Mus musculus: one gene and its partners. The protein of the gene in region 2 interacts with the protein of the main gene of each other region in a biochemical or structural test. Links are inferred from orthologs where the notes say so. Each region holds a gene or a part of one and is shown on either strand. Other genes may lie near its edges.

What was found.
Region 1: the proteins of Dnm1 (region 2) and Itsn1 form a complex in vitro, tested with the Homo sapiens proteins (2 studies listed by BioGRID and IntAct, with this or other methods). The link is inferred for Mus musculus from reciprocal best matches to the Homo sapiens genes DNM1 and ITSN1.
Region 3: the proteins of Dnm1 (region 2) and Sh3gl1 form a complex in vitro, tested with the Homo sapiens proteins (2 studies listed by BioGRID and IntAct, with this or other methods). The link is inferred for Mus musculus from reciprocal best matches to the Homo sapiens genes DNM1 and SH3GL1.
Region 4: the proteins of Dnm1 (region 2) and Sh3gl2 form a complex in vitro, tested with the Homo sapiens proteins (2 studies listed by BioGRID and IntAct, with this or other methods). The link is inferred for Mus musculus from reciprocal best matches to the Homo sapiens genes DNM1 and SH3GL2.

The regions. Positions count from the first base shown.
Region 1 is NC_000082.6:91,727,452-91,732,713, reverse strand, and holds the start of Itsn1 (intersectin-1), read right to left. Parts: upstream 3,344-5,262; 5' UTR 3,115-3,343; intron 3,107-3,114; exon of another isoform or gene 2,179-3,106; coding exon of another isoform or gene 2,139-2,178; intron 1-2,138. UniProt on the Homo sapiens protein: Adapter protein that provides a link between the endocytic membrane traffic and the actin assembly machinery. Acts as a guanine nucleotide exchange factor (GEF) for CDC42, and thereby stimulates actin nucleation mediated by WASL and the ARP2/3 complex.
Region 2 is NC_000068.7:32,350,016-32,355,340, forward strand, and holds the start of Dnm1 (dynamin-1), read right to left. Parts: upstream 3,315-5,325; 5' UTR 3,195-3,314; coding exon 3,034-3,194; intron 1-3,033. UniProt on the Homo sapiens protein: Catalyzes the hydrolysis of GTP and utilizes this energy to mediate vesicle scission and participates in many forms of endocytosis, such as clathrin-mediated endocytosis or synaptic vesicle endocytosis as well as rapid endocytosis (RE).
Region 3 is NC_000083.6:56,033,167-56,038,493, reverse strand, and holds the start of Sh3gl1 (endophilin-A2), read left to right. Parts: upstream 1-1,856; 5' UTR 1,857-2,034; coding exon 2,035-2,079; intron 2,080-3,404; exon of another isoform or gene 3,405-3,626; intron 3,627-5,327. UniProt on the Homo sapiens protein: Implicated in endocytosis. May recruit other proteins to membranes with high curvature.
Region 4 is NC_000070.6:85,376,100-85,380,898, reverse strand, and holds part of Sh3gl2 (endophilin-A1), read right to left. Parts: intron 4,559-4,799; coding exon 4,415-4,558; intron 3,506-4,414; coding exon 3,372-3,505; intron 1,648-3,371; coding exon 1,489-1,647; intron 1-1,488. UniProt on the Homo sapiens protein: Implicated in synaptic vesicle endocytosis. May recruit other proteins to membranes with high curvature. Required for BDNF-dependent dendrite outgrowth.

The DNA of each region.
Region 1 (5,262 bases), on a different chromosome or scaffold from region 2:
ATCTGTAATTTATAGGACCCTGTGGTAGACTCTGTAAAAGGGAGTAAAGGTCGTATATCATAAGAGTCAAATTGGAAAGCATATGTATTGTCCATATTTTCTAAAAATGATTCTTTATGTTGGGATTATCATCATTTATAAAATGATACGTGATTAGACTCTACATTAAATTTTGAGCCCTCAGGGGCAACATCTACTAGACATCTTTCTAGCACATCACCCAGAAGGGCTGTACATTCAACACTGGTCAAGCTTAGGGGAACTGGCTAGGACACAGCGCTGTGACTACTCTGTGATGTGACCAACTTGGCAGGTAAAGACTCAAAACAGTGGGATGGAGGCAGTGTGGCTCACCCATCCACCCTGCAACGGTCTGAAAGGCACTGGCTTAGTTTCTAGGCAGGCCACACCAATTCTGCTCTTCTGAAACCCTCATCACAGTATGTAAAACCTCTGCTACTTGAAAAGCTTGCTATCCACTTCAGAGACGGTCTTAGGAGACACTCGGTAAGAGAGAAAAGCACAATGCCAAGGTTCTCCAAGTTCTCTCTCTGGCTTGGAGAAATTCCTGGAAACTGTATTGACAATACTGACTACTTCCCATTGTCTGACTGAGCTGGAGAGACAGAAACCTGGTAAGCTGATGTAAAGATATCTGAATGCCAGACTTAGATGGAGCCAGTAAGTGGAGCCATTCAGGAGGGAGTCACTAAAAAGAGAAGTCTGACATAAACCCAACCTCCATTAATTAATTTTCTTTAAGTCACAGGTTGAGCAAATTAAAAGGATGAGAGTCTAGAGACTGTAGCACAAGGCCCCAGGATCTAATGCCAGCAGTACCACACACAAAGACAACGTGAGGCTGCAGATGTAGCTAGGTGCTAGGCTACACTCTAGCATGCTCCAAGGCTTGGCTCAATCACCAAAAGAGAAAAAGCACAGGCAGAGGAATTTACCAGGGCCTCCCTTTTAAGCTCTTGCAAGTGTTTTAAGGGTGTATCTCAATCTAGGTTATTTGGGGAAAAGATAAAGAATGCCCAGAGGAAAAAGAAACTGCTAGTCAACAGCAAAAGAAAGAAAGAAAGAAAGGAAAAAAGGAAGGAAGGAAGGATGGATGTGGGCTGGAGAGATGGCTTAGCAGTTAGAGCACTGACTGCTCTTCCAAAGGTCCTGAGTTCAAATCCCAGCAACCACACGGTGGCTCACAGCCATCAGAACAGCTACAGTGTACTCATATAAATAAATAAATCTTTTTTTAAAAATTAAAAAGAAAGAAAGAAAGAGAGAGAGAGAAAGAGAGAGATTCAAAGAAAGAAAATGCTGAGGAACAAACATTTCAGGGAACTAACTTGCCGCTACTCATTTTATGCCCTATTTCACAATGCTCAGCATCTGAACAATCCACAGGGTTCCAAAGTACATTAAAATGTGTTCATTTCCTCTCTTACTCAGGCAGAATAATAATAGTTTTGTGGCGGTACCACAATCCTCAGCAATTTCAATGACAGACACTTTTTTTTTAAACACATACTCTCTGAGAGGTGCCTTACTGCAGCCACTTAAAAGTGTATAGAAATATCTATGCCCTGTCACCAAATCAGTGGCCTTCACTTCTTAATTTAAATCCTTTATAATTTCCTGAGTTCTTTACATATCTCCTACAGAAAGACGTTGCTTTTTAAAAACTTCTTAAGTTATAAGGGAACTCACACACACATACAAAATATTTCAAGCAAACTAGTGTAAAAAAAAAAAAGTAACAAAAATGGTAACCATAATGGTTGCTGAAACGTCTGCACTCTTCACCGTTAACATCTTCTAAAAATAAAAGTATCCCAACAAATAAATACATTCCTCTAGTTTGGAGCATTTAGAGAAACACCCTGCCAAGCAGCTGGCCTGCGGGCTCCTGGCCCCAGCTCCTGCCCTCACATCCTGTCCACTACATAATCCATGAGCAAGCCTTTCTCTTCATCAATTCAGCGGGATTAGTAAACCGGCCTCCCTGAAAATAGAACTGATATTTTCCACGGGCATTTGTTCCCATGCTTTCACTATCTATGCTATTTATCAGACTCTTTTTTTCTTTTTTATCCTCCGTGTTTCCGACCACGAAGTACCAAGAGAAAGATACCAACCGATAAACACAAAAGAACCGCATCTGGCCAGAGTCTGCATGCATTTACATTTCCAGGTTGCTTCTGTTTTCCGAAAAGCAGTGATGAGGGCAAAGTCGCAAACTTTCACATTCAAGATGCTACCAAATACCTCTACACCCTCAAGCTGCAGCAAGAAGCCACTAATCTATTCCTTCAAAAGCAAAGCCTGTAGTCTGAATCACAACAATAGAAGACTGCTCATAGGCAAGAGGATCAGCGAAGTTGTCTTCCAAAGCAAAGGCAAACAGAAGTGAAGGGAGATCCAGCCAGCTCCTCCTTGCTTTTCTTTCTTTCTTTTCTTTTTTTTCTTTCTGGGAATCCGGATTGCATTTTCTGGTGCCCCCCCCCACCCCCAAGAAGGGACCGCAATTATGCACTGGGTCCACAGCAGACACCCGAGTCAGTGCGTGCGCAAGGAGGGCGAAGCGGCCGAGAAGGGGACGCACGCCCGCTGCAAGGGTAGCCGCTTTCTGTTAAATGCCATCAGAGCCAGCCCCGGCCGCACCACTTCGGCCCAAACGGCATTGACCGCCCTTCACTTGACAGGGTATTCCAAGCAGGCGCTAGAGAAAAAGGATGAGCCGGGGACTCGAGGCCGGGGGCACCCGCGGGCGGCGCGATGCGGCTCCCGCGAGCTCGGGATCCCCGGGAGGCCGGGTCGGCCCGCCACCCTCCGGCGGCCGAGGGCAGAGGGGTCAGCGGTGGAAGGACCGCCCGCCGCGATGCCCCCCACGGGAGCGCCGGCCGTGGCTGCGGACGCCCATTCAGCCCGAACCCGTCCCGCGGCCGCCACCGCCGCGGCCCGCCCGCCCCGCTGCCCCCGGGGAGGATGAGAAAGACCGGGCGGAGCGGCGACGGCGGCCGCAGGGACGCGCGCCCGGCCGCTGGACCCGACCCCGGGGCGGCCATCGCCGACCCCCGCCCGCGCGCCAGGCCGCCCGCGTCAGCTCCTCACCTCATCTCCGGGCGGGTGCGCGCGGCCGCCCCTCACACAAATCAGTGCAGCCCGCACGCCGCGCGGAGGAACGCCGAGTCCGCAGCCGCGCACACCATCCCCGCCCGCCCGCCTGCCTGCCTCCCGGCCGTCCCGGAGCCCGCTCGGGATGCTCCCTTGCGAGCCGCCGTACTACGGAGCAACCAAGCTGCGCGCCCTCCCCGCGCCGCTCCACTCCTCTCGCCCTCCTTCGCTCCTTCGCTCCCTCACTCCCGCCTAACTCCTCATCTCCCTCCGCCGCCGCCCCTCCGCCCACAGCCTGCCCTCCGCCCCACCCATAGATGGGCGGGGATAACCGCCTGCCAATCGGACGGCGGAGACCACGCCTTCGCTCTCTCCTATGACTCCGCCCACTAGGTGGGCAAAAAAGAAGAAAGGAGCCAAAGGAAATAGAGGTGTACAGAGTGACAACGAGATACACCAATGAAGTAGTTTGGATAGCACCCCCCCACACACACACACTTTTTTCCCCTCCCATCCTTGTCTCGTCCCTTGAAGGCGTAACTAGAGGTTTCTGCTCTATGCGTGCGGAGATTTTGTTTCACGATTTGGCGCTTTGCTCTTTTCTATGCGCGACAGTAGCTAGGATACATTCAACTAAATTGAAGGTTTTGCAGAAAGAGCGTGGGCACGAAAGGCGAAAGACACAAAGACTGAAGAAAGATGGTAGGGGTTACGGTTGGAATGAGGAAGGGTGTGGCCTTTTACTCTAATTTGCATAAAACGGAACCCATCTTGGCAACGCCCAACTTCTCCCATTTATTGGTGGTCCCTGGGGCGGCGACTCGTCTCTCTACGGGAAGCAGCATGCTGGGAGATGTAGTTCCGGGTTCAGTTGCCATGGCGTTCGTCACAGCCTCCCCCAGATCGGTCATCCTGCGGTAGTGACGGGCAGTCTGACCAATGGCAGTACTGTTTGGACCCAAGAAGGCGGGCTCTCTGCAGAAGGACTGGGAAGGTGGCGGCGGCGAAGGCGCTGGCGGTTGAGGTTGCTCCGAGCCAGGTGAGCCAGGGAAGAACGATGTGTGTCTCTGAAATGGGACTTTGGGCGAAAAATGGAGAAACGCCTGAAGGAGCTGTCTAACCCTGGGGAGACTGGTACTTCGCATCACACGCCGACCTCAGAGATGCCCTGGCTCAGGCCTAGCTTGGCCGAGGCCGCCGAGGGGCGGGTAATACTAGATTTGACGGACAGTTCCTGACCCTGGCTAGGTTTTGATTGTAGACTGATCTTTGCTTCTTCCTCCGCGTTTATGGAGGCAAAGGTCTAGAACTGCCTTTCTCCTGGGTTGAGTCCTCCCCGCCCCCAGCTTCTCCCTATCACTGTTTCTGATGCTGTCTCTATTACTACTTCCCTTGTCACCCTTCTTATCCTTCTCTTTGCATTTCCAGTAAGCGGTTTCCTAAAGCAAACAAGGGTGGGTGTTCGCAGTAATGGGGCCTTGGGTCAGGAATTGCCTGCTTCATTGAGCCGGCCATACTTGAGCCATACTAAAGAATTATCCCAGGGTCGTGAGGAGGTGCAGATACTGATTCTGGATTTGGGCCTGGTGGTCTGCATTTGCTTTTTAAAAATTATATATATATATCTATATATGGCATTTTAAACAAACTGCCAAGTATAGCCAGTCCACAGTAGCTGAGTTTTGCATTGCCTGTCCAGGACAGATGTTCTAGGCACCCAGACGCTTTTAGATTTCCTGGGAGCCACATTTGGACAGTGAAGAGACCACGTGAAATTAATTTTACGTTTCTCTTAAACCAGCTTATCCAAATATTATTTCAACCTTTAAAGAAATCAGATATTTAAATGAGACAGTGTATCTGTTGTGCGTTTTACCCTCGCAGCATACCCTCGTACCCTCATCCTAAGGGCACGCCACTCACGTGCGGAGTAGCCACCTGTGGCTATTCGCCGCTCTCCGAATCCAGATGATGCAAGAGACCATTGCACAAACTCAGCAGTGTTAGTCATGTGATTGCCAGCGACATCCCTTTGCTGCTTCAGTACATGGGTTCAGAACTACTTTCACAATACGATACTGAGCTTACAAGAATACCAGGGAAAGTAATATTTATTAAAAAGCCAACTTCCGTAATGTGTGCGCT
Region 2 (5,325 bases):
CCTTAGACGTGGCTCTTGCCTCCTTCCTGTCTCCCATTTGTCAGAAGCATCTCAGGTCACCCTACCACTCCAAGGATCTTGAAAACAAACCAAATCCCTCGCCATGGCCTGAGGGCTCACAGATGGAGGTCCTGTCTACACCTGTCCCACCGTTCCTGCCTAAACCTTGTGGTGCCTGTTTGTATCTCAAACTGACCCTTTCCTGCCCCAGGCCCTTTGAACTGCTGTTCACTGGCCTGGGATTATTTTCTCCCAGCTTCTCACATAGCTTGGCCCTGCTTGGTTTTCCTGGGTGCAACCTTCCTCTAAGACCTTCTGAGCCCTCCGTGTGAAAGGCAGCCCAACTCCTGGGAGACAGAGTGCAGCTTACAGGTGTCTCGGTTTCTCTCTCTAGAATGCACAGCTTCACCAAAGACTCTCTAGTGTGACCGCTGTGGACCTTCCAAGAATGACAGCTAAATGACTGAGTGAGCTGGCCTCTGTAAAGGGAAGGGAAAGGAACAGCAGAGACTCAGACAAGACCTAGCAGGGTCCCGGACAGCTGCTGGGTCACCTCCATTGCAGAGCTGACACGAGGTCCTCCTGGATGCCTGGGAGCCTGCCTGGCCTGAATTGGCTTGTTTCCTCTAGGGAGTTTCCCACTTCCTCTCCGTGGGGGTTTGGCGCTCTGAAAGGCCCAGGAGAAAGAGCTGTTGTTACCATGTTCACGAGTCTGGGGACCCAGAGCTAGGCAGAGAGGTAGGGAATCTGTGAGGTCGGTCACGGGTGGGGCTGGCTGGAGCCTGACCCCACCCCTAGCCTCAGTACTGCTGCTGCTCATTTTGTGGCTTCTTCACTAGCTTTTAAGGGCTAACAAGCCTGCCCGCTTGCTCCTCCTCCGTCCCAGACCTGCATCTGGGCATCTTCCACGCCCTCCTGGCTGGAGCAGCGGCCTCTCGACAGGTCAACAGTTGTGGCTATCACCTGCTGTGGTCTGGGCTGGGTACTGCACTGGGCAAAACGTCATGGACAGGTTCCCAGTCTCTAGACTCTCAAAGCGTCTCTCTTCCATGGATTTAGCAAATGGCTTTTGTACTGGTTTAGGAGGTCCGGGTAAGCTTCCAGGGGTCCCCATTCTACAAATGGGAAATCAGATGTCTACACTCCAATCAGTCCCCATGACCAATGCAGGATCAAGATGGAGTCTGACAGGTGTCACTCTTTGGGAATATGTGACCTTGAGAAAAGCATCTAATTTCAGTTGCCCGTCTATAGGGTGGACACCACTGTGTTTGCATCACAGGGGCTACAGCAAAGCAGGGAAGGGCTCCAGTTTGCACCCCCTAACTAGAGCACACAGTCTGGCTTAGAACAGCAAATGCTCAGAGCATGGGAGATGGGGCTGTGGTATGCACACTGTAAAGTGCACGACACCCCTCCACGGCCCTGTCTTCAGGGCGCTGGACATTCCTCCATCCCCAACAGCCCTGACTGCTGGACCCCCGGGAAGGGGCTCATCTATATGGTTTCTTGCCTGTATCTGCAGCTCTGGGGTCACATGATCCAGAGACAGCTGCTCCTCTCTGCTGACAAGACAGACAGAGCTACTTCCACTGTGGCACGTCTACATCTCACCACTACATGGTTCTCACTCAGGCCCCCTTCCTCCCGCCACCCCACCCCCACCCCGGGGTGGGTTCACAGTGGCTTCCCAGGACGTGTAAGTGGTGGCATCAACCCTCCAGTCTGTCCATACTACACTGAGGTTTGGTAAAGGCAAGTGACTTGCCCAAGGTTTTCCAGCAGCACCTGGCTTAGACCCAGCTGTCACCCCACAGAATGCTTGTTCCTCTCTGGAAGGAGGGGCCGCCGCCGCCTCCCTCTCCCTCACGCCTGTCATTTCCTTAGCCATGAAGGTCATTGCAAGAAAGCAAGACTTTCTAGAAAGATGAGAGCTTGCACCTAGCGGGTGAGGGGTCAAGGTTAGCACTGGTGCATCCTCTCTGGTCCTGGCAGTCCCCTTCCCAGAGTGCACCTGAGCTTAGAATGAGCTGCTCTTTCTAAGAACCAGAAATGCCACTTCTGTCTTCCCTAGCTCCAAAGGAGCCTAGGGAGGTGGTGCGGAGGGGGGTCACGACCCTGCTTGCCCCCTCTAAGTCCAAGACCCTTTGTCTCTAAGGCTCTCCTCCACTCTGCCACCTGGCCTTCCCAGAGCCTTGTGGGATCAGAGGCCAGAGGAGGATTAGGTTCTGCAATGGCTCACCACCCCCCTCCTCGCCATCCTGCCTCCTGGACTTAGTCATCTCTGCCCTCTGCCGCCTTTTCTCTCCATCACAACCCTTCTGCCAGGCCAGGGGAGGAGGACGCTGACAAGCAGCCCCTTCCCAAGGGGTGCAGCGAAGGCAGGCTGCTCCGTAGAGGCTCACAGGCCGCTTCTCCTCCCGCTGCCATCCCCCCCCTTCCTTTCCTCGCACCGCAGCCCGCGCCTCCCCCTCTGCCTCTCTGCGCACGGATGGCGGCGGGAGCCGCAGAGGTGTGTGTGTGTGTGTGTGTGTGTGTGTGTGTGTGTGTGTGTGTGTGTGTGTGCGCGCGCGCGCGCGCGCGCCTGTGCGTGTGCGGGGTGGGGGGGTTGTGCCTGGTCTCCGATGCCTATGGGGCTGTGTCCTTTTCTAGGGACTGGGGGAGGGGGCTGTCCCCTGTCACGACCAGGAATTCCCATGGGGTCAGAGCGGGTTCCAAGGAGCCCAGGAAGGGGATATTGCCCTCTGGGTGCTCTCAGCTCCCAGTGAGGCGCTGAGTAATGTGGGCCCCCTCGGTGAGGGTATTGGCGATCAAGGACAGCTCTCTGCCGAGGTCGCTCTACAGACGATGGGGTGAACGAGGGGGCGTGAGTGGGGGGACTCCACTGATATCCGCGGGCTGGCGGGGGCGCTGCGGACCCCAGGACTCAAGCGGGGGGCGGGGGCGCTCGGTCCGCTAGAGCAGCGCCCAGACCGTCGGATCCCGGGGTGGGGACCCGGGGCACCGTGATGCGGGTGTCCGCGCCGCTCCTACCTGCCCACGAAATTCTCCAGCACCGAGCTCTTGCCGGCGCTCTGGCCGCCTACCACGGCGATCTGCGGCAGGTCGAGGTCCGCGTTCTGGCCGATGGCGGAGAAGGCGTCCTGTAACCGGTTAACCAGCGGGATGAGGTCTTCCATGCCGCGGTTGCCCATGGTTGCGGCGGGCCCGGCGGGCTGCGATCCGGCCGCCGCTCCTGCTCTGGCTCTTGGCCCCCGGCTTCGCGGCTGCAGCCGAATATCCCGACTGCGTGCGCCGCGGGTCCCCCGCCCCTCGGGGATCCGAGCGGAGCGCTTCTCCAGGCCGCCGCTAGATGGCGCGCGGGGATTCGCGGACTGGTCACTATGCGCAGACGCAACGCGGGGCGCCATGGGTGTTGTCGTTTTCTTCTTCTGCGGCTTTCGGGAGACTTACCTGTGTTTCTGGGATACGGATGCTGCACCGAAGATAATACTTTTGGTGATGGCTAGGGGTGCTAACTCTAGAAATGGGCTAGTATGTGGTGGTCATGATTACTTCATTTCAGCAGTTATTCCCAGTGGAGAAACTGAGGCCTTAGAGGGAAGATCTGGCACCCACAGGCTGCTGCAGTCAGCTGACCAAAGTCAACCCTAGTCCACTTAGCCTTTCTAGTCTAGGTTCTGACACTAATCAAAAATCTGCAGCATATTCCTTCCTATCCTGGGGCCTCAGTGTTTCTGGTTCTAGGAGGAAGAAAGAAAAACCATTGATTCAACAAATTACCAGGAGCCCATGATAAGCTAGACCCCTTCCTAAGTTTACAGACACAAAACTCGGCAGAACAGCTAGGGACTTTACACTCAGAGATCTTACAGGTGGTGGGATAGACGGGACACAGAAGAGCGTTTGTACTAGAAGAAACAGAGAAAACCAACAGGGCTTGGAAAGTCACATTAGCCAGAAGGGGGCAAAGGTTTTCCAAAGAAATTACCTTTGAAAGGGAACCTAACTGATAAGAAGGGGCCCGACACCCTGATGGAGTGGACAGGAAGTGCAAAGGCCCCAATACCTAGGAAGTGCTGCCGAGGAGAGGCAAAAGTTCTTGTCTTGAACTCTAAGGCTCCAAGAGGATGAGCGCCAGGCCCAGAGTGGCAAATAGTGCTATTCAAACCAGGGGTTCTTGCAGCCATACTTGCCTGTCCTTTTCACACAGACAGATAGTTGGATCTAGGTTCGGCTACTCACTTTTGCATCAAGAAGGACCTAGTTAGGACTCCTGACAAAGAAGCCAAGAAAGAGAGGGTTATCGGGTCACTTCTATGTTCTGAGACTAGGGAAGTGCCCTAGGCATTAGAGACTATCCATTTTTTTCACCCACTGAATGTGTGGTTGCTGAGCAGGCTAGCTCCCGCTAGACCCCAGAGACAAGGCAGTGACAAGCCACCTACAAGTGGCTCAAAGTCAAGTGGAAAAGGGAGGGGTCATATGCCAATAAATATGACTCTTTCCGGGGGTGATGAGTGGAGAGCAGGGCTGGGGCAGGGCTTGTGTTGTTAACTCATACAGGATAATAATGCTGGAACAGAGACTAGAAGTGTGTGGACCATGAGCCCAGTGAGAAGGGATTTCCAGTTAGGGGAGAACCACCCAGACCTTACCTCTGGGTCATTTCTGGGTCATAGCTATCTAATCTGTAGAGTTGGCACAATGACAAAATAGAATGTCTGTGTGAGGCCCAGCCCAGACCTGGTGTGCATTGACCCTCATTAACAACCATGCCAACCACATCAGAAATCCAGGAGCTGAAACACCAGCCCCAATACCCCTCATCCAGAGCCGCTATTCTCAGCCAGCCTAGAGAGGACAGGGATGTGAGCCAAGGTGACCAGCACCATCAAGTTAGGCTGGGCATACAGTTTGAAGATGTCTGTCTGGACCATTGCAACTGAGCTTTTGTTATTCTTCTTTATCCTTCTGAGGGGAAAGTGTGACTCTAGTGCTCCACTGCTACAAATAGTGCAGTTGAGTTTCCCCACATTTGGGGACCTCACAGGGTCAGCACACCTTGGGAAAACCACTTTCTAGATCATGACGTCTCTCCTGCCAGCTAAGTATTATGATTTCACCCCTTAAACACAGTGGTAAAACTTACTGTTAAAACCACACTCTCGGGCTGGTGAGATGGCTCAGTGGTTAAGAGCACTGACTGCTCTTCCAAAGGTCATGAGTTCAAATCCCAGCAACCACATGGTGGCTCACAACCATCCGTAAGGAGATCTGACTCTCTCTTCTGGAGTGTCTGAAGTCAGCTACAGTGTACTTACA
Region 3 (5,327 bases), on a different chromosome or scaffold from region 2:
ATTTCAACCCTAGCCATTTTCCTGTGTCTGCTTTAGGATTTATTTACTCATTACCTCCATTCATTATTAATCTCCAGGTCATGCTTGCCTGGTCTGTAACTGGTTATGTAGTCCAGACTGGCCGCAAACTCGGAGACCCATCTGCTCTGCTTCTCAGGGGCTTGGGTTAAAGGTGTGTGCATTGCCACACCTGGCATATTCTATATAGTTTTTGAAATTTGTAACAGTTGATAGAAGGGTTAAGGTACATATGTCAACCTGGGGAGACTTCATTGAAGAGATATTGTCTTAGTTAGGGTTTTACTAATGTGAACAGACATCATGACCAAGGCAACTCTTATAAGAACAACGTTTAGGGGGCTGGAGAGATGGCTCAGCGGGTAAGAGCACTGATTGCTCTTCCAAAGGTCATGAGTTCAAATCCCAGCAACCACATGGTAGCTCACAACCATCCTTAATAAGATCTGATGCCCTCTTCTGGTGTGTCTGAAGACAGCTACAGTGTACTTAGATATAATAATAAAATAAATCTAAAAAAAAAAAAACAATGTTTAATTGGGACTGGCTTACAGGTTCAGAGATTCAGTTCATTATCATCCAGGCGGGAACATAGCAATATCCAGGCAGACATGGTGAAGGTGGAGCTGAGAGTTCTACATCTTCATCTGAGGGCTGCTAGCAGAATACTGGCTTCCAGGCAGCTAGGATGAGGGTCTTAAAGCTCACACCCACAGTGACACACCTACTCCAGCAGGGGCACAACTTCTAATAGTGCCACTCCCTGGTCTGAGCATATACAAGCCATCACAGATATCATTCAATTAGAGTCCTCTTTCTGTCTTAATGATGAGAGGAAGCTCACTGCAGGGCTAATGCGCAAAAAAGCAATGATGTCCTATAGCTGGTACATGACAGGAATGAACCAATGGAACTCGAAATAGGAGATAGCTACAGTCTGAGCGAACTATTTTGAAAATATGTTTCTAGTGGGGCTCATTGGTGCACACCTGTGATTTAGCACTTGGGACGTGGAGGAGCTTGGACAGGAGTTCAAGGTCATCCTTGGTTATACAGTAAGTTTGAGGCTTAGCCTGGGTTATGCAATATCTGCTCTGAAATAAAGTTATGAAGAAGGAAATAAAGGACTCTCTTTTCTAGTTGTATCCTCAGCGATTTATTAGAAGGGAGACACTGAAGGAAGGACCCCAGAGAGAAGGCTGGTGGCGTGTTAGCATTTGGGCCTCTGCCGGGATTAAAGGCGTACATGCATCACCACTGGCATACCTCATATTAATTTTTAAGTTATGGGTATATATGTGACCCGGTGTACTTGAGAGCAGTTGAAGGAGGCCAGGAAAGGGCTGTGACCCGGAGCTGGAGTTACAGACAGCTAGCTATGAGCAAGCAGCCTGATGTGGATGCGAGGAACTGAACTCCCGATGTCAGCCAGGGCAGCAAGCACTTTTACCTGGAGAACCAACCGTTCCTCTAGCCCCTAAGATATTCCATTTTACCTCGCTTTGTCTTTATTACACTCTCGCTGGCAAATTCCGCTCCGCTTTCTCCACGCACAAATAAAATATTAATTAATTAAAACTGACTTTTGGCTTTATATCTACTCCTGGACTCTAGAGGGAGCTGCATCATGCGTACACGCGCACGTACACAGATTTCTGGCCTCTCTAGGCGCCCCCTCATCTCGTTGGTGTGGGAGGGTTTCCGCCGTTCCTCCCCCGGCAATGCTCTTTCTGTCCTCCAGGGGGCGCGCACGCGCAGAGAGGCGGAGCGCGCGCAGATGCCGTTGTAGGGTGGGGTGAGGCGATATGGGGGCGTCACCGGAAGTGTGCGGTTGCCATGTAATATCCCGGCCGCGCGTGCGCGCTAGCCGGCCGAGGTGGCTTCGGGGCGGGGGCGCAGAGCTGGCAAGCTGATTTGGCGGTGGCGGCGCCGACCTGCGCGCGGAGGAAAGAAGTCGGTTCGGCGGCGCCGGCGGAAACCGGAGTTCGAGCGGGAGGCCTGACGGCGGCAGGCGGCATGTCGGTGGCGGGGCTGAAGAAGCAGTTCTACAAGGCGAGCCAGGTGAGGCGAGGCCAGGCGATCTGGTCTCGGGCCTGCCTTTGGGGACCGCAGACGAGCCGAGCTGGCTTCCCTTGGGCTAGCGGGGAAGGGGAGACCGGGTCCCCGTGCTTTGAAGAGGGACACCGGGTGTGCGCGTCTAGGCGGCTTTCAGAAAGCTCTGGAGGGCCGGCGAAAGGGCTTCATTGAGAGGGGCTTGCCGCCAGGCTTTACAACGTAAGTTCGATTCCTGGGATCGCAGCATGGAAGGCAAGCCCCCCCCCCCCCAAAGTCTCCAGGCTATGCTTCCGAGACTCTCACCACATAGCCTCAGGCCACAGAAAATGTTTGTCTAGGTTGATATCCAAAAAAACCAAGTCCACACAGGGCTTAAAAAATAATCAGTGTCCCATTCTTCTTTTCCCTCTCCGGTGTCTGTAAGACGGATTGAAAAAAAAAAAACCTAAAAAACCAAAAACAAACATTCTCGCTCACTGGGTGTTATACATCATTAATCCCTGCACACTTGAGGCAGTCAGGTAAGCAGATCTCTGAGTTTGAGGCCAGCCAGGGTTACGTAACATAAGGAGACCCTGTCTCAAAAATGAAAGAAAAATCTCTTGGTAGACACTGTGGCAAGTTGAAAAGAGACAGTGAAAAGTAATTTTCCAGGCTTCTGCAGTTTACAAAATGTGTCAGGTTTGTGTCCCTATTTCTAAAACATATGTATGCTTCTTTGAAAGATACGTTTTTGTTGGCTGTACCATACTATAGATTCCTATAGGTACTTGGTGGTTTGGGTTTAGTGTTTAATCGATCCGATCATGACTCTGAACTGAAATTCTCCTTTCTGGTTGTGTTGACATTCAGGAGTTCTGTAGGGTGGGCATCCTGGCCTCCGTTGTATAAACATTGAGAACCCTACCCCAGGCAGGCAGGCGCTCCTTTCAGACATCCTATAGTGTAATGTCCCTCTGGAACTTTTGGGGGGTTTTTTGAGGCCAAGTTTTGCTCGTAGTCCAGGCTGGCCCAGAATTTTCCATCTTCCTGCCTCTCAGGCGCTGGGATGACAGGATACCTTTGTGTGTTGAAGGTTTTATATTTGCCTTGAACTCCTGGGCTCAAGTGAGCCTGTTCCCTCAGCTCTGTCAGGTTTCTGCTTGAGAAAACCCTTGTTGTCTCATCTCTGTCTCAGTCAGGCCAGAGTGGCCTCATAGTCATTATCCTCCCGCCTCTGCCTCCCGGTGCTGAGTTACAGATGTTTGTCACCAAACCTCAGTGGCCAGAAGTTCGTGACTGAGTTTTCTCCTGTCTGTTTTGAGTTTCTTTTCTTCTGCCTTTTCCTCCAGGTTGCTAGATCGATTGTGCTCGCGAGTGCGCTCTCTCTTTCTCTCTCGTTTGATGGATGTTTGCTGGGGTTGGAGCCCAGGACCTCAACCACACTGGCAACAGCTCTACCCTGAGCCATGACCTCAGCTTGACATGCATTTTACATGGGACACTGCTGGAAAGCCTGGCAGGCCTGTAACCCCAGGCCCTCTGGCCGCTGAGGCAGGAGGATCAAAAGCCAAGTGAGTTCCAAGTGAAGCCTGTGGAGCCAGCTTGGCTGCTATGTCTGATACCCTAGAGGTCACCAGGGTTGATGCTAGTGTGGCTGGAGGAGGCTGTCTTCTGCCTGTGCATCCAATCCAGTGCTTGTCTCACTCAGCTCAGAGGCCAGACCCCACCAGTGTTGGAGCAGCTGGCTCCCCTTCTCGAACTCCTGAATAGCTTTCGGAATGCAGAGGATAGGATAGGACCCGGGCTCTGGGCTTCAAAGTAAGAACTTTCATATCTCAAAATGACAACAGATCTGGGTGTGTAGCTAGTTGGTAGAGTACTTGCCTACCACACAGGAAGCCCTGGTTTTGTTACAAGTTGAGGGCCAGCCTGGTATACAGTGTTAGTTCCAAGGGTATGTAGTGAAACCCCATTCAAACAAGTAGTTCAGAGCCTGCAACCCATAGTCATGCAAGCCCTGGATCTTTGCAGGGAGGTCTGTGAACACGTAGTTTGTTGCCCGGTTTCTGTTCCAAGAAGCCCCAGATGTGCTAATCCTGTGGCTGTGCAGTACAGCCCGAGAATCCTGGGTGTGGAGCTGGCTCGAGTAGATTCCACAGAGAGATGAGCAACAGTGTAAGGAATTGCTTGGGCCATGCCTGTGAGAAAGGTTCTCCCCACAGTCTGGAGAGGCCCAGCCAGAGGGAGCAGCCAGCTGGTGCTGTCACCCAAGGGCTGAAAAGAAGGAAGGGCCTAGCAGTTGCCTAAGGATAAAGACATCTGAGCTCTATCTGTGGACCTCATAGGGAGGCTAGCAATGGAGTTGATGTGGTAGGACCTATGCAGTAGGCAAGAGACCTCCAGTGCCTGAACTCCTTAGGCTGTGATGCCAGCCTGGGTTCTGTGGCTGTCCTTCTGTTTGAATGCCTGTGGCCCCACATCCCTCAGATGGAGTTCCCGGAGGTCCCTCCCCTGCTGATTCCCAGCAGGTCCTGTCAGGGACTCATAGGCAGCCACTAGACTCTTTCCCACTTGGAGGGCCACCCATCCCACCTGCCTACAAACCTGCAAAGCTCAGCTCAGGTGAGAATCAATTTACTGTTTAGACATTCCAAGGCCCTGTCCCAGAGAACTCTGAGCGAGCTCTCAAGAGTTGCACACGGATGGCCTATGGCCCAGCCTCTTGCAGAAGTTTTCCAGGTTTTCAACATTCTACTCTTTCACCTGGGTCCCTCCCTCCTGGGTTTCTTTTCTCCAAGTAACACCTCTCTGGTGGATTCCTGAGTCCCTAGATTATCTTTCTCATAAGAAAGAGAAACCACAAGCCAGTATGCCAGGGCATACCTGTAATTCCTGTGTACTAGAAAGTCAGAAGGGTTGTGAGTTCTAGGCCAGCTTGGGCTACATAGTGAAAGCTTACCTGTAAAGAAAAAAAAAGAGAGAGAAAAAAGAGAAACAGGCAGGAGAGGCTGGGGCTCAGTAGGTAGAACAGTCACCGAGCCTGTAAAGGAGCCCTGGGCTCCGTCCTCAGCTCCACACACACCAGGTCAGGAGTTCAGCTACATAGTGTGTTTGAGGTCAGCATGAGCCCCTGACTCAGAAAGGCAAAAGAGGTTCAGGGGTGCCAAGGCAAGGTATGGATGGAGCTGGGCAGGCACCTGGGCTCCAAGTAAGCTTCAACAACTCGTGCTCCCCACCACCACCACCCCACCGCCCCATCCAGACCCCACAGG
Region 4 (4,799 bases), on a different chromosome or scaffold from region 2:
AGTTGTAGCCTTCAAGTCAAAGGTAATGAACGCTGTCCTGTAAGTTTGAGGATGTGGGAGGGGGGCTCAGAGTACAAGGACACACACTGGCTCAGAGTTCCTACAGTATTTCACTGAGTGGTTAGGAGGACAAAGTTGTCTGTAGACAAACCTGAACTATCTCGGGATGATGAGGGCTCTACATGTTCAACATACCTTCGCTGCCACTCAGGATGTAAGCCAATTAATTAATGGGATGGCTAATTTTGGGATGACAACACGAAAAGTTTAAAAGATACTCAAAAGCTAGCAAAGCATGGTCCTTGGGTGTGTCTGTGGAGTTGCTTCCAGACTAGATCTGCATTTGAATCAGAAAGAACTGAGCAAGGATAAGCTTGGCATATCTAAAATGGTACACGCTACCCAGTACATTGAGGATTCAAATAAAGCAAATGACAAAAGAGAGAGATTCACTCCTTTCTCTCCTGGGGCTGAACATTTACCTCCTCTTGCATTTGAACACCAGAGCTGCCAGCTCTCCATCCTCGAGACTTGTGTTTCTCTGCCATTTCTGGTTTCCTAGCCTCTGGTAACCGAATCAATTTGCCAATGCCAACGTTCATTCTCAGGCCTTTAGAATCAGTCTGAACTATGTTTCCAGCCTCACTGGCTCCCCACCTATCTGGAGGTATATGTGGAGCTTCTGAGCCTCAATCAGCCTCCTCATGAGAAACTTCCCCTTTCTCCCTTGATCTCCAGCTATGCACCCTGCATCCATACCACCTGTACCTATAACCCTATGGTTTTGTTTCTCTGGAGATTCCTCCAGTGATGAGTACACAAAGCCCTACAAACGTCCCAGATGAACTCTGGGGTTAGATGGTGGAGATGGTCCAGGACAAGAAATCCAGTTATTCAAATCTATACATGTGTGAAATAAGGAAGAAAGCACTGTTCATGTGGCTTTACAGCTGAATGAACTCAACAGAAGTTAATGTCCGAAGCCATAAGTGATAATTTAGAATTCTGGTGATGCAGGGGCAACTTCTAAACCATCTCAGCCATGCCCTGAATGAATCATCAATTCTAATTTATGTATTTTTCTATGAAAATTTCAAGATCACTTCTATGTATTGACAACTTTATAACTTCAGAAACTCAATTCTGAATGTAATTTATTCATAATGCAGGTCATATGCTCTATATTAAAACAGTAGTTTGTAATATGTTGGATTTATATGTGGGTTATCAGAGTCATTATCTCTGCACTTACTGGCAATACTTTAAAATCCATTAAAAATAGTTCTGGTTCAATCAATCTATAAGGATAAAGAAATGAATTCCATTTCCATGTTGTCTGTATGATAAATCACTAAGATAAGTGGCCCCTGTGTGTTCTTATCACACAGAGGAACCAGATGGTATCATGTCACATGATATGTCTTTCAACACATCAGTGCTATGCCTCGATGGTAAAATTAAATGAAAACCCAGAGAAAAGCAGCTTACATCCATCTCCAAGAGGTTGAACATGCTCGACTCGGCGATTTCTTTAGACTCATCGAATTTCTCCAGAGCTTGGCGGAGTTCTTCATCTGGAATCTTGCCTTGTCGCTTCTTCTTATAATCAAAGTCTAAGCGTCGGCCTTCCAGCTTTTTCAGATGATGCTGAAAGAGCCAAGGGCAGGAACATGCTTCCAAAGGACATATTATGGAAAAGACCTTCTTGTACCTCATTTTTCTTACATTCCTAGTAGCTTCCAAAATGTGACTGGCTGAGTTTGAAATTGCATGTCACCAGAGAAATGAAGACACATGTACCAGCAACGCAAATGCTTCTAGTGGCTAACTGTAGAGGGACACCTTGACAAATAATTCAGAATGAGAAACAAGTCACTGAAAGACCAATGTCCTTTTGCTAAGCATTCCCAGGCCAAAGCCAAGTTGAACTATATCTCTTCTCCAAATGACAAGAAGGGCATGTGGATAGGCATCACCCATACCTTCCACCTCAAGAAAATGCTACACACAAGAGCCTGCCAGTCACCTTCCTCGTGAGAAATGGGAAAGCCCTCTTTTCTGAGGTAAAGGTAGAAAAAAATGAAATTCCTTTTTTATTAATCTAGTTTACCAGAGTCACCTAGTATGTTAGGTAAGAATATCTGATCACCTAAGTCAGAAAAGCCAGGCTGAGCCTAGTGATCTGCATCACAACACCTGCCCCATTTGACAGAGGTAGCTTTTAGGGGACAGATGAGTTTACCTCTCCAAGGACAGGTGACACAACTCAGTCACAAACCCAAACTGCAAGGGACCTTGGAGGATCTTCTATCAGCACTACCTCCCCTAACACACACACACACACACACACACACACACACACACACCTGTAGCTTTAATCCCTCACTGTAGTATCTCCATATGGTAAGGTTCATAACCTCTCTAAAGATGAGGATAAGTAGTTTTGTTCTGTTTTGTTTTCCTGAAGATCAACAGTAGTTTCCTTTCTTAATAGCTGTAGCATTCTACGACTAACTGGTGGGAGAAAAAAGTGATTTTTTCCTCTGTTCCTTAGTGTGTATGGACGAGGGAGGAAGAAGAGAAGATAGAAACAGAGTCAGGGGTGGTAGAGAACTGGCAAGATAAAGGATGGGTTTTGTTCTACACCCTGCTCCTCTCACCGCATCTCCCACCCCCAACTAACACTCTAATCCCAACTAAGTGTGCTTTCTTTTGGCAAGGGGGTGCTGTAGAAGCATTTGAACTCACGGCCACTCAGAGGCAACACCAGCTTAATTTATCAGAGATATCTCAGCTTTTCTGTATGTTTCACAAAGCGTGGTTATTCCTTCTAAACACCAACAACAATAAGGAAAATATAAAAATCGAAGAGTAATATAGTAGCTACTTATTTAAACTGATAGAAGTACAACTAATATTTGGGGACCCCATCAGCCTCATCCATCATTAACAGAGTTTAAAGTCCCGGATAAAGGACATCCCTTTGGCTGGGTGGCAGTGATGCAAGCCCTTAATCCCAGCACTACTGAGGCAGAGGCAGGTGGATTTCTGTGAGTGTGAGGCCAGCATGATCTATAGAGCAAATTCTAGGACAACCAGGGCTACATTTAAAAAAAAATTAAGGGGCTTTTTTTTAAGAAAAAAAAAATGGTGGGAAGATTGTTTAACAAGGAAGTTGAAGACAGAGGAACCAATGCTCTGCTCAGGAGCTGCAGGGCTGCAGCTGTGATCCTGGATTGATGGCCCTTGGTCTCCAGTGCCTTTCATCTTATGGAGCTGTAGGAAATTCACGTGCCCTCTTCTGTGTATCCCAGGGAGACTGTCTGGGAAATGAGAATCTGCGTGTGTGTGAGAAGAAGGATCGCACAGACCTGAATCTCCCTCAGATCCTTGTCATGAAGATTCTGAAGGGGGTCGATGAAATTCTGCTTCACTTCCATGTCCAATGAGTCCTTGACCTCCGAGAGCTCCCTCATGGCTTCTCCCACCTCACCGAGAGCAGGACCTGAGAGGGGAAAATGAAGATCTCACACCCTGAAGAATAAAGACAAGCACTCTTTGCAACAACAGCCTTCAAGATGGCTGTGTAGGGATTGCCTCTGTCCTATAACAGCAACAGAGTCTAAGAAAGCCCATAGTGTTCTCAAGACAAAAGAAGTTTTTCTATTTACCACAGTCATTCTGAAAACCAGGCTCCATGGACCCTTTAAAAGGAGGAGTATCCCTCCTTACCAGGAACTGGATATTTTACTCTGAATACTATTTTGCAAGGCTCTCTGTTCTCTGTGATAGGCACTAGTTCTCATTAATATGAGATCAGTTGCAGCTCAATGCTTTTAGCAGAAGCAGATACTAAAAACTGAGGAAAAAGGGACTAGAGAGGTCCCATGTCAATAGGAGTGAAGGCAGAAGGTGCTTGAAGGCAGAAGGTGCTTAGGGTCCTGAGAGCCAGGCAAGAGAGGAGATAGAATAAATTCTATTTTGCCTGGAGCAACAGAATCAGGGATCCCAAACAAATGAGCAGTGGATTAATCCTAGAGAGCCCAGGTGCCAGTGTAGGAATTCACGCTGATTGTGACTGCTCGATCTGCTTTAATACGCAGCTCCTGCCAGATACACCCAGGAAAGTGCCAAGGCATCTGGGCATGTCTGCCGGAACTGTTGTCAAGGCTGGGGTCCCATTAGAGGAAAAGGACAAAAGCTGCGTAGACAAATCACTTTAAACACTGGCAGTCCTAAAATCACATTTCATCCCCCATATATAACATCTACAAGTGAGAATTAAAATATAAGCAGGCTGACTGATGATCTCGAGTTTGCTGTTGTTAGTGGGTTTTGCTTTGTTGTTTTGTTTTGTTTTTTAATCAGCACCACAACCTCCTTGGAGACCTGCAGTATGGCCAAGGCTACTTACCAAAGTTGCAATCATCACCCAGCTCCCTGCCGAACTTGAGCATGGCCTCTGCCAGCAGTGCTTCCGCCTGAGGGTAGCCTGGCCCCTTCTCTTGGCCGCGGATTTTCGACATGGTGTTGATCATACTGAGCTTAGCCCTGGAAGCTGGAGACAAAGGGAGAACAGCCTTTAGGAGATAGCATCACTATTCATAATGGGAACTGGGCTGGCTGGAGAACCAAGCTCCAATCAGCCCAGACATCTACTCGGCTCCTAAAGCTGCACCTTCACTGGGCCTACAGCCCTTGGGTACAATATGTGGGCAACTGAATATACATCAACTCTAAACTTCAACTCCAAGTAGAATTATACTGCAAGGCCAAATACAGGTCTTCACGGGGCAGCA